Linked DNA regions of Saccharomyces cerevisiae S288C. Changing the gene in region 1 together with any one later gene gives a genetic interaction. Each region holds a gene or a part of one and is shown in the gene's direction. Other genes may lie near its edges.

Region 1 (8,118 bases):
TAGAAGAGAAGTTGAGTGAATCCAACACCCACCACTGAAAAAATCGACACTTAAACAAAAAACTTTAAACGTTATGAAAGTTCTTGAGGAAAGGAATGCATTTTTAAGTGACTATGAAGTCTTGAAGTTCCTAACAGATCTAGAAAAAAAACATCTTTGGGACCAAAAAAGTTTGGCTGCGCTGAAGAAAAGTCGCTCGAAAGGTAAGCAGAATAGGCCCTACAATCATCCTGAATTGCAAGGTATTACTCGCAATGTGGTTAACTATCTCAGTATAAACAAAAACTTTATCAACCAGGAAGATGAAGGCGAGGAACGAGAAAGCAGTGGTGCAAAAGATGCTGAAAAATCGGGTATAAGCAAAATGAGCGATGAAAGCTTTGCTGAGTTGATGACTAAACTGAATTCTTTTAAATTATTCAAGGCTGAAAAACTGCAGATTGTCAATCAACTTCCTGCCAATATGGTCCACCTTTACTCCATAGTGGAGGAGTGTGATGCAAGATTTGACGAAAAAACAATTGAGGAAATGCTAGAGATCATCTCTGGCTACGCATGAGTGTACAGTGCTTTGAATTGATTTGGACTGGCACTTCCGAAAAACAGAAATTACTTTGTTGTGTAACAATATAACATGTTCAATGAGTATGCATGTATTATTGAACTTAAGCATATAGAAATATTTACAAGAATATACTTTATTTTTTAGAGTTTATTGCGCACACTTTGGGTTAGTCTCGATTTTTTTTATTTCCATTGGAGGAAGGTTATTATTTGGAAATTTAGTGCTGCGTTATAAACGTCTGTAAAGCCAGTACCACAAGCAACTTCGGTGAGATTTAACTTTTGTTTATTCTGTATTTTTGTCGAGGCTTAAAAGGGTATACTAGTTGAGGGCGTTACAGTAATCCCTTCATGGCAAGAATAAAGTAATAGTTATATAATAATTGTCATACGCATTGTTATACCAGTTGACGAGTAAAAAAAGACGCACCGTGACTTCAAGAGCTGTCGCAAACAAGTTCGACAATATTTAACTTATAAACATATTAAAGCTTTCAAAAATATAGTCTTTCGAAGAGCTTTTTCATACTAAGAGAAGCGTTGCTAATATTCCGAATTAATCACGCAATTGCCTCTCTGCTTTCCACGTAACCCATCATAGGAAATTGTATTAATATGTTACTTACTGGAATTGCACAGGAAAACACCGACAAAAAATTGGTTTGTCTGCGTTTTGACGGAGAGCTACTGACTTGTAGGTTCACTTTTTCACACACCGCACTATGCATATATGTTGCATTTTTATTATTCATCCGCACGTGGCTGCACACGTGAATGAAAAAGAAGCAATACTATCTTTATATATTGAGGCAATCAGAAAGAAGTTACAGGCTAACAATCAAATCGGCCAATAAAAGAGCATAACAAGGCAGGAACAGCTATGAAGTTTGGTGAGCACTTGAGCAAGTCTCTTATTAGACAGTACAGCTACTATTATATTAGTTATGATGATCTGAAGACTGAGCTAGAAGATAACTTATCTAAGAATAACGGTCAGTGGACGCAAGAATTGGAAACAGATTTTTTAGAATCTTTGGAGATCGAGTTAGACAAGGTTTACACATTTTGCAAAGTTAAGCATAGTGAAGTTTTTAGACGTGTAAAAGAGGTTCAAGAACAAGTGCAACATACTGTTCGTTTGTTAGACTCCAATAATCCTCCTACTCAGCTAGATTTTGAGATTCTAGAAGAAGAACTAAGTGATATCATTGCCGATGTTCATGATCTAGCAAAGTTTTCGAGACTAAACTACACTGGTTTCCAAAAGATTATCAAGAAACACGATAAGAAGACAGGTTTTATCTTGAAACCAGTTTTCCAAGTTAGATTAGACTCTAAACCATTTTTCAAGGAAAACTATGACGAACTAGTCGTTAAAATTTCCCAACTATATGATATTGCCAGAACTTCAGGTCGCCCAATCAAGGGAGACTCATCTGCTGGTGGGAAGCAACAAAATTTCGTTAGACAGACAACAAAGTATTGGGTTCACCCTGATAACATTACAGAATTGAAGCTGATCATCTTGAAGCATTTACCAGTGTTAGTCTTCAACACTAATAAGGAATTCGAAAGAGAAGATTCCGCTATTACTTCGATCTATTTTGATAATGAAAATCTAGACCTTTATTATGGCAGATTAAGAAAAGATGAAGGTGCAGAAGCCCACAGATTGAGATGGTATGGGGGTATGTCTACAGACACGATCTTTGTAGAAAGAAAGACCCATAGAGAGGATTGGACTGGTGAGAAATCTGTCAAGGCAAGATTTGCGCTAAAGGAACGTCATGTTAATGACTTCTTAAAGGGTAAATATACTGTTGATCAAGTATTTGCCAAGATGCGTAAAGAAGGCAAGAAGCCAATGAACGAAATTGAAAACTTGGAGGCGTTAGCATCCGAAATTCAATACGTCATGTTAAAGAAAAAGTTGAGACCTGTAGTGAGATCATTCTACAATAGAACTGCTTTTCAATTACCTGGTGATGCAAGAGTTCGTATCTCCCTTGATACAGAGTTAACTATGGTGAGAGAAGACAACTTTGATGGTGTGGATAGAACTCATAAGAATTGGAGGAGAACTGATATTGGTGTCGATTGGCCATTCAAGCAGCTAGATGACAAGGATATTTGCCGTTTCCCATATGCAGTCCTGGAAGTTAAATTGCAAACTCAACTAGGTCAAGAACCTCCAGAGTGGGTACGTGAATTAGTCGGGTCTCACTTAGTTGAGCCAGTCCCAAAATTCTCCAAGTTTATTCATGGTGTGGCTACCTTACTAAATGATAAAGTGGATTCAATCCCATTTTGGTTACCTCAAATGGATGTTGATATCAGGAAACCTCCACTACCAACAAATATTGAAATAACAAGACCCGGTAGATCCGATAACGAAGATAACGACTTCGATGAGGATGATGAGGATGACGCTGCTTTGGTTGCTGCCATGACAAACGCACCCGGTAATTCTCTTGATATAGAAGAATCTGTTGGTTACGGGGCTACTTCGGCCCCCACCTCCAACACTAATCATGTTGTTGAGAGTGCTAATGCTGCTTATTATCAAAGAAAGATCAGGAATGCCGAAAATCCTATCTCCAAGAAATACTATGAAATCGTGGCATTTTTTGACCACTATTTTAACGGTGATCAAATATCTAAAATCCCAAAAGGTACTACTTTTGATACTCAAATTCGTGCCCCACCGGGAAAGACGATATGTGTGCCAGTTCGTGTGGAACCAAAAGTTTACTTTGCCACTGAAAGAACCTACCTGTCTTGGTTGTCCATCTCGATATTGTTGGGCGGTGTCTCCACTACTTTATTAACATATGGTTCACCAACAGCCATGATTGGCTCCATTGGGTTCTTTATTACTTCCTTGGCTGTGTTGATACGTACTGTTATGGTTTATGCCAAGAGAGTGGTAAACATTAGACTAAAGAGAGCAGTAGATTATGAGGATAAGATCGGGCCCGGCATGGTTTCTGTGTTTCTAATTCTCTCTATTTTATTTTCCTTTTTCTGCAACCTAGTTGCTAAATGAATACACAGCGTGTTTTTTTTACTGTATAATTAAGTAATAATCATATTAGATATAATAATTTCTTTAGCGCCATTTTTTTATATATGAGAACTACCCTCTTGCCTGAAATGCACACCTTCACCAGGCGCACACTGGTTCAAAAATAGTAAACAAAATCATGCGAAAATACAATAAAAGACGTTAACTTGATAGAATGAAAGCGTACGCAAAGAAACGTATCTCTTACATGCCATCGTCACCATCACAAAATGTTATTAACTTTGAAGAAATCGAAACTCAAAAAGAAAACATTCTTCCCCTGAAGGAAGGCAGATCAGCAGCGGCACTCTCGAAAGCGATACATCAACCACTGGTGGAAATAAACCAAGTTAAATCAAGCTTCGAACAAAGACTGATAGATGAGCTCCCTGCATTAAGCGACCCAATTACTTTGTATCTTGAATACATAAAGTGGCTGAACAACGCCTATCCACAAGGCGGTAATTCCAAACAATCTGGAATGCTCACCCTTTTGGAGCGATGTTTATCTCACTTAAAGGATTTGGAGAGATATCGCAATGATGTTAGGTTTCTTAAAATATGGTTTTGGTACATAGAACTTTTTACCAGAAATTCATTCATGGAAAGCAGAGACATTTTCATGTATATGTTAAGAAATGGAATTGGTTCCGAGTTAGCGTCATTTTATGAAGAATTTACGAATCTATTAATTCAGAAAGAAAAATTTCAATATGCCGTGAAAATTCTACAGCTAGGAATCAAAAATAAGGCTAGGCCTAATAAGGTTTTAGAAGACCGGTTAAACCATCTCCTGAGAGAACTGGGGGAGAACAATATTCAGCTAGGAAATGAAATATCGATGGACTCATTAGAGTCTACAGTACTTGGGAAAACCAGATCTGAATTTGTCAATAGACTAGAGCTTGCAAATCAAAATGGCACATCAAGTGACGTCAATTTAACAAAAAACAACGTATTTGTAGATGGAGAAGAGTCTGATGTAGAACTATTCGAAACTCCGAATAGAGGTGTTTATAGAGATGGCTGGGAAAATTTTGACTTAAAGGCAGAAAGGAACAAAGAAAACAACCTTCGAATATCATTGCTAGAAGCAAATACCAATTTGGGTGAGCTTAAACAACATGAGATGTTATCGCAAAAAAAGAGACCATATGATGAAAAACTACCGATCTTTAGAGATTCTATAGGTAGAAGTGACCCTGTTTATCAAATGATTAATACAAAGGACCAGAAACCAGAAAAAATTGACTGTAATTTTAAACTGATTTATTGTGAAGATGAGGAATCTAAAGGTGGTAGACTAGAATTTTCGCTAGAAGAAGTCTTGGCAATTTCTAGAAACGTTTATAAAAGGGTTAGGACAAATAGGAAACATCCAAGAGAAGCAAATTTAGGGCAAGAAGAAAGCGCAAATCAAAAAGAAGCTGAAGCACAATCGAAAAGACCAAAAATAAGTAGAAAAGCCTTAGTCTCCAAGTCGTTGACCCCCTCAAACCAGGGAAGAATGTTTTCTGGCGAAGAGTACATAAACTGCCCTATGACGCCAAAGGGACGAAGCACTGAGACGTCTGATATCATCTCAGCTGTCAAGCCGCGGCAGTTAACCCCAATTTTAGAAATGAGAGAATCAAATTCTTTTTCTCAAAGCAAAAATTCTGAGATCATTTCAGATGATGACAAGTCGAGTTCGTCTTTCATATCGTACCCACCACAGCGTTGAAATAAAACTAATCCCATGAATGAGTAAGTATACTGGCCAATCGTAAACACATCGACGGCCGACTTTTTTATTTAAAGCACAGATGATATAATGATTATTTAACGAATGATACTTCTATATTAAATCCTATGAGGAGTAATATAAATATAAAAAGGCCAATTTTAAAATGAACGTTTGTCCGATTAACGCTTATGACATACTGTAGGGATGACAAAATTATAGTGAGGACTTTAATTCTATATAAATACATTACAATAGTATAAAAAAACAAAAAAATGTGAAGAAACACCAAATATTAAACGGCAGTAATGAAGTTTAACCTCGAGGCTATTATTCTTGTTTTCTTACACCACTAACAATATCATCAACCCTTAATAGTAAACATGCACTTTCAATAGCGGTTTTGACACTTTGCTGCTTGATGACTTCAGGTTCCCAAATACCGTAACTAACCATATCTACAATTTTCCCCTTGTCACCATCAATACCTGTTGTAAAATTTCCCTGTGCGTGTTTGGCTCTTAGTTGGGATAGGAGTCTAATAGGATCACCACCTGCATTTTGTATCAAAGTACGTGGAATACACTCCATAGCATCAGCTACAGCTTGGTATGGCCATTGCTGGATCCCTTCTAATTGCTTTGCCTTTTCTGCTAATTTGACAGAAACTGCCATCTCGGTGGCACCACCACCTGGGGACAAGGAAGGACTCAACATCACATTACGAGCAACAGCCATAGCATCTTGTAGGTTACGATCTATTTCGTTTAATATATCTTTGGAACCACCACGTAACATTATGGTACAAGCTTTTGGTTCCTTGCAGTTATCCAAAAATGAGAAATATTCGTCCCCAATCATTTCTACTTTGAATAATCCACAGTTTGTACCGACATCACTTTCCTTCAAGTCCTCTACACGATTGACAATGGTTGCACCAGTTACACGAGCAATTCTATTATTGTCTGATTTCTTCACTCTTCTTAAAACACTACATCCACCCTTTAGTAAATAATGCTGTGCTAGATCTGAAACACCTTTTTCAGTGATGACTAGTGTTGGCCTAACGGCTAAAATTTGTTCACACATTAGCTGAACTTGTTCTTCCTCGATTTGTAAAATCCTATTCCAATCTTCCTCCTTTTCAATTTCTATGTTGGTTTGAGATTCACCCTTCTTATATTCTAGTGGACAATCCAAAAGAACAACACGTGGATTCTCTATGTGACGGGACATCTTTGGATGAACAACATCCTTGTTCAATAAGACACCCTTTAAGACGCGAGAATCTAGAACATCCCCCCCAGGAATCTTCTCCACACGGACATATCTTTTGATATCGATTTCAAAATTAGGTTCACCTTCCACAGTTTGTCCCAGGTCTTTACGGACAGTCTTAACAGCGTCTAGAGCTAATTCACACATTTTCTCTGACCAATGTATGACATATTTAGTACCGATAGAGGCTTGAATCAATTTTTTCATAGCGGCATCATTTTCCACATCGACAGGTTTACTTACTTGTTTGATAACTTCTAGTGCATCAGTCAGTGCTTTCTTCAAGGCTTGGATAATAATAACAGGGTGAATATTTTTTTCAATCAAATAAGGTGCACACTGAGCTAAAATCTCACCAGCTAGAATAATAACTGTTGTAGTCCCGTCACCAACCTCTTCGTCTTGAGTACGGGATAACTCCAACATTGATTTAGCTGCTGGATGTGCAACATCAATTTCCCTTAAAATAGCGTGGCCATCGTTAGTCAACACAAGACCGCCCATAGGATCCAATAACATCTTTAACATAGCTTTTGGACCTAAGCAAGTTCGAATGACATCGGCAACTGCCTTTGCAGCAGTGATATTGGAGATTTGGGCCTGACGACCGGTAGTTCTCTCTTGAGAAGCATTCATAAATACCACTGGAGCTTGCATTGTGGCTTATATCACTATTGTACTTGATGATTTTCAACGTATGATCACTCGATATTATCGATGCTTTTTTGATATAATGCTCTCTACTCACTTTATTGAGTGGCGATTTGCTATTTTTTTTTCTTCGCACCATGCGTCACGTTAAACGAAAAAGTTTAGTATTAGGATGGAAGTATATAATATCACATAAGATTATATCAGGGTATATTTGGCTATACAGAAACTGTACCACAAATATATACACTGTATGTAAGTTTTTGAGATGTGGCTATATATGCGAAGAACTATGCAATGGGCGAAGTACTTGCGACGATAGGACGTTCGCACATAGAACTTTTGTATTCATGGGCGTTTACTTGCAATTGATTCATCATATTAGTCGTTTCAGAACTAACATTGCTTTTATCACTCAATGAAAATTCCTTCACAGAATTATCCTTGTCACTCATGCAATTAAGTTTAGAGTGATCCCTCGTAGTATTATACATGCCCATTACATCACTAAAGGTCCTGAAGTTGAGTTCTGTGTTTCTCTTGGAGACTTTTGTCATTCTTTCTTGCAGGTAGCTAGAAAATCTTGACATAGTTAAAGCCATAGTATCGTCAGTATCTTTTTCTTTCAAAGGATTAAATTCCTGGGTCATCAAATGGGCAATCTCCTCTTCAGCAAAATAATCCACTGAGGGCAATTTAGGTAATCCAAACATTAACGAATTTATATCGGTTCTTTCTGTCTTGAATTGAACTGGACGCCCATAAAGTCTTGCACAATCCATCAAAGGAATAATGAACCTGATCATTGCTTCCAGGTGATGTACGCCATGATGGGGCA
Region 2 (5,116 bases), on another chromosome or scaffold:
CAACGTACCTAGTGACCAGATTGGCCGTCGACCCGGCACTGTCAGAACCATCACCGGGCAAAAAGCACACCATTTCGCCCAGCGCGCACATGATCGGGTAGATCACCGCGGAAATAATAATGTACGATATGAACAGCCCCGCGGGACCGCACGTATGAAGCGTGGATGAAGTCCCCACCAGCAAACCGGTACCGATGGCGCCGCCCAGCGCGATCAGTTGCACATGGCGCGACTGCAAACCTTGTTTTAGTTTGTGCGGCTCGCTATCGCCATCGACGGAGGGCGATTTCTCCAAGTCCACGTCCATAATCAAATCCTCGCGGATGGTGCCGTTGGACGACGCGGACTGGTTCTTAGATATTTTCTCCATACGGATGGCGTCATCTTTTTCATTGTCGCTGCGATGATTATTGCGCGACCCGGACGATGGTGATTCCGTTACCTGGACAACATCCTCCTCCTTCTTGGTGTCGCCGCCGCTACCGTCGCCGCTAACATCGTCCGCGCAGGTGACGACTCCCGCGCTGTGTCTATTGTTCTTGTGGAAGGGCAGTATATTTACCATGATTTATTCATTGATGGTGTGATTCTTCGAAACAGCAAAGAATAAAAGAAACTGGAAGGGAAGAGAGAAAAAAAAAGGAAAGGAAGAGGAACACAAACCCCCTATATATATATAGAAGTACATCAGTCTACAAATATTCGAGTGTATAAGTATGTATATACATATATGTTTATGCGTCTGTATCAGTACATGGATGGAGATATGCTGTGCCTACATTCATGGAATATTCAGATTGGGGCATGTACATAAACAGACATAATTAGTATTTTGGCCGTAGGTCCTGCCCTACCCTGCAAGGTTCTTCTTGTTATCAGCACTGGATGGAGGGGTGAAGCAGATAAAACCCCGGTGTAGTTGGCGATAGGCAGAGTGCAGGCACGATGATAGCGAGGGGTTGAAAACGTCCCATTTTCCTTTGATAGGAAATATCGGGCAGAAGTTGAAAAGCGACAAAAGCGACAGGCACACGCGAACCGGCTAGGCCACCCAAACGTCATAGCTAGCGCAATGAAAAAAACTAACGTCGCTTCCCTTTTGGTTTGATGATGTTTCAACTCGCAGCGCGGGTACCCGGGCTGCCGGAACAAAGCCGTGCAAGTAGCGGCTGTCGTCACGCACCATGGGTACCATCTTGTGCCGTGCCGTGCTACCTCAGATTTAGGACCCTGGAGATTTGGCAGACATGACAAGCAATTTTGACAAACTTGTGACAAGATTTGAACCGCGCGGGAATTCACATTGCAGTATGGACGGACATCCGGCCATCGCGCGCGGGCCCGGTATTTGATCTCCGTTTTAGAAGCACAGAAAAAAATAATATGATGTTATGATGTTTAATAGATGGATTCATATCGTCCGGGTAAAAACGCTTTTGGAGAAATCAAGGAAAATCGCCGAGATCACTAGGAAATACTATTACTATTGAAAAAAAAAAAAAGAAAAAAAAAGGAAAGACGATAATATTTTTGGAAAGAACGCCACCACACGCACTTTACACCCTTCAATCATGAACAATATTCGGGCCTTGCTGGACTCGATACAATCTGGAGTTCAGACCGTTTCTCCAGAAAAGCACCAACAGACGATTGCCGCGATCAACAAATTTCAAGATGATCCTGCACTTCTAGACACCATACTACCGAGATGCGTGCCTCTTTTGACCAAGTCGTTCTTTTGTATGTCACAGCGTGATCAGAAACTTGTTGCGGAGCTTTTCTACAATCTTGACAAGATCTCCCACTCAAAAGTCCTTAAATCATTAGATACAAGTATTTTTAGATTAAACGAAATTTTAAACTATTTACAAGATCGAGCCTCGCCCTCTTCTTTCAGCGATGTCTTGTGCGTCTATCTAAACCTTTCTTGGCTAAGCGTCATTCTGCTTTCACCTTACGCATTCAAAGATAAATTCAACAAAACGCTTCAAGTATCTTCCAGGTTCGAGAACTACCCCATTTGCATACCTCCAATTAACAAGATCAAAGCCGTTTTATATTTCAAAAACTTCACAGATGCCTTTGACCAGCTACCGGAACGGGAACAGGCAAATGTGCCGTTTCTCAACCAATTTTTAAAGCTGTTTATTCAGTCTTCGGAAAAGGCAAACTACTACTTCTCCAATGAAAATCTAAGACACTTACAACAAGTTGCACTGTCCAATGACGGAATAAAGCTGCTGCCAAAATTATTCCAGATTTCGTTCAATCATGGCTCTCATGATATCCTAGATGCTATAGTAGAATTCTTCCATGACCATTTAAGTTCGAATTCCACAGACACAAGATTCCAATTGGCACACTCCTTCGCTAAAATTGCCAAGTTCCTGCACCAGGCAGATCCAGCATCTTTTATCGAGCTCATTGATTATACCATCGAAAATACGGTTTCCCTATTACAGGCTCCTTGCGATTCTATCGATAGCAATGAGCTGCACACTTCCCTTCTGATCATCGCCGAGGTGGCTCTGGCCAAAATTCTGCCTATAGATCTAGTCGACCGCGTATTGACTCTGATCATCCCTAAAACATGTCATTTTCAGAAATCTCACTTTCAAATCATCAAGGGCCACCATATCAGGGACTCGACAAACTTCATTATCTGGTCAGTAATAAGGTCAAACCGTAGCAATAGTTTATCGCCGCAGGTTCTACAATCACTACTTTCTCATCTGTTAATAAACGCCTTTTTTGACCCCGAATTAATAATCAGATACTCGAGTTTTGCCGCGCTCCAAGAATTATTGGGCAGGTCCAACAAATCTCTTGCGCTAAATCAAAATGACATTGCTTTGATATTGCAAGCAAATTGGAAGGATCTACCGAGGTCTTTCGAGGAGAACTCTGGTCTAATTCGTAGGCTGTTCAACCCCGAAAACACCTCCAAAAGTGCTGTTTGCGTATGGAAGGTATTCCGCGATTGGTCCTTCAATTGGAATTTACTAGAGAATTTACATTTGACCACAATGAAACTCAACATAGATTATAACCTAGTTCCATTAATCAAGTCGAAATTATCTTCACCCGCTTTATTGCAAGAGGTATTAAACAAGGCTGGCAGCTCAGTTACACAAAATTGTCAAATTTTGTACTTGTACTTGAAACTATTCGAAAATGACGTAAATTGCCCGAAAATAAGCGAGATTTGTATCGACATTTACCAGAAAAAGATAAAATTCCAATTAACTACTCAAGCGAAAAGACAATTTAACGATAATTCGCCCGAACTGTTTCAAATTTTTGTCATTTTGAAATACTGGCAATTAACAGGACAAAATGATTTCAATCAGGAATTGTTTTGGAAATTTGTAGACATAGTATCCCCACAAAAGAAGTTAAATCTGTACAACGAATTCATCCCTATAATACAGCAAATAATATCTCAATGCGTTAGCCTAAACTACACAAGGATTGTTCAATTAATTAAATCAGATAACGAACTGACTTGCCGATCAATATGTCATATGCCCGATCAAGAAAAGATGTGTTCCCTTTTCTTCTCCCAGTTCCCCCTATTGTCACCTCAATCCAGATCGCTTTTGATAGGCGAACTTGATCATCATTGGGATGTTAGAATAAGCTTACTCCCGTCGAATTCGTATCGAAAATTTCGCAACATCATTATCAACTGTCTCGATGATTATACAATAACTCAACAGGGTGATGTAGGACGTCTGGTAAGAATACAGGCTTTAAAACTTATGCAATCCCATCCCGATTTCTTATCTGGTGATTGCGACTCCATCAATCCAAAATTAACGAGATTGCTGGCGGAACCTGTACCAGAGATCAGAAAACTAAGTTATCAATTACTTGCTTCGGCCACATCACAAATCACTGTGTTATCTGACTCTTCGATACTCAATTTCCGTCACAAGCAAGGTTTAAGTGAAGAATTCTGGAAAGGATATGCAGTGAGCGCTGGAGCAATACATTTTACAGATTCTCAGCTTACTTCATCAATAGATTCATTTATCGTATACTACAGATCTTTGTCTCCTTCACAACAGCTGGAATTATGCCACGATTTAATCAGAATAATTCCAAGCGCTAAACAAATCGCTGAATCAAGAATACGCGATCGTAACAAGGATCCATTAACAGGAGGTATGAGATTTGACACCATCAAATTCACCATTCATTGTGTAAAATTTTGGACTAGAATCATGGAATCTGGGTTGGTTGTTCTACATCCAAATTTTAATTTTCAGGGTGTTTTCGCCAAGTTCTATAACCTACATTTATTAGATTGTACGACATTGAGAGTAAGCGTGATCAAATTCTTCCCGTTCTTGGCAATATCTTGTTACCACACAATGAGAGAAAATGCTGACCAGAAGAATCTATCCAACATAATACTGAAAAGGTTGTTGGTTCTTGTGAAACGTGAATACGCCGCAACAAAATCAAAATTTATGACTGATCAAAATGTCGCTTTACAAGGTATGTTCCAGATATTTTTGGAATTAGGTGTCACCAGGCAACTCCAAGCTCTACAAGTGGCCTGCCAGAAACATGAATTGGCGAATATATTAGAGTCTGATATCACTTTATAGAATGTAAACGGCAAATTTTACATATAATCATTATTTTTGTTGCATTTGCTTAGATCTTATGTAAGAAAATAGATTTTCTACTCTCTTTGCATAGGATACATCCGCAGCAAAATTATATTCCGCATCATTTGCGGTAAATAAAGCTTCATTCCGCATTTCTTTATCTCTTTTTGCTTTAGATTTTTGGAAAATTTCTGAATCCATATGAAATAGAGTTTTTCGCTCCCCAAAAATTTTGCGCAATTCCATTATGTTTATTGGTTGAATGGTCCCTTTTTCTGACTTAAATGGTTTATTCTCAACATACCATTCGCCGACGTCATCTGTTATCTGCAAAACTCTATCGGTGTTTTCTTGTATATCAATTTCTAAGCTGGATAGCCATTCAGAAATTGCATCTCCGATTTGTATTGGCAACCTCCACGAAAACTTATCACTAAACTTATCGAAAAGAAAAAATTTGTGACTTTGTGTAACCAACAAATTATAGAAAGCAAAAT

The links. Genes that interact genetically often act in the same process or in processes that back each other up.
Region 2: mutations in MAD3 (region 1) and CIN1 together harm fitness more than expected from each alone (negative genetic interaction), as found in Saccharomyces cerevisiae (5 studies listed by BioGRID, with this or other methods).

The regions. Positions count from the first base shown.
Region 1 is NC_001142.9:406,726-414,843, reverse strand, and holds MAD3 (Mad3p), read left to right. Parts: upstream 1-3,803; coding exon 3,804-5,351; downstream 5,352-8,118. Other genes in the region: DNA-directed RNA polymerase III subunit RPC17, read left to right, coding at 74-559; VTC4 (Vtc4p), read left to right, coding at 1,445-3,610; chaperonin-containing T-complex subunit CCT3, read right to left, coding at 5,682-7,286; TPH3 (Tph3p), read right to left, coding at 7,571-8,118.
Region 2 is NC_001147.6:988,218-993,333, forward strand, and holds CIN1 (Cin1p), read left to right. Parts: upstream 1-1,571; coding exon 1,572-4,616; downstream 4,617-5,116. Other genes in the region: proline permease PUT4, read right to left, coding at 1-565; MNE1 (Mne1p), read right to left, coding at 4,647-5,116.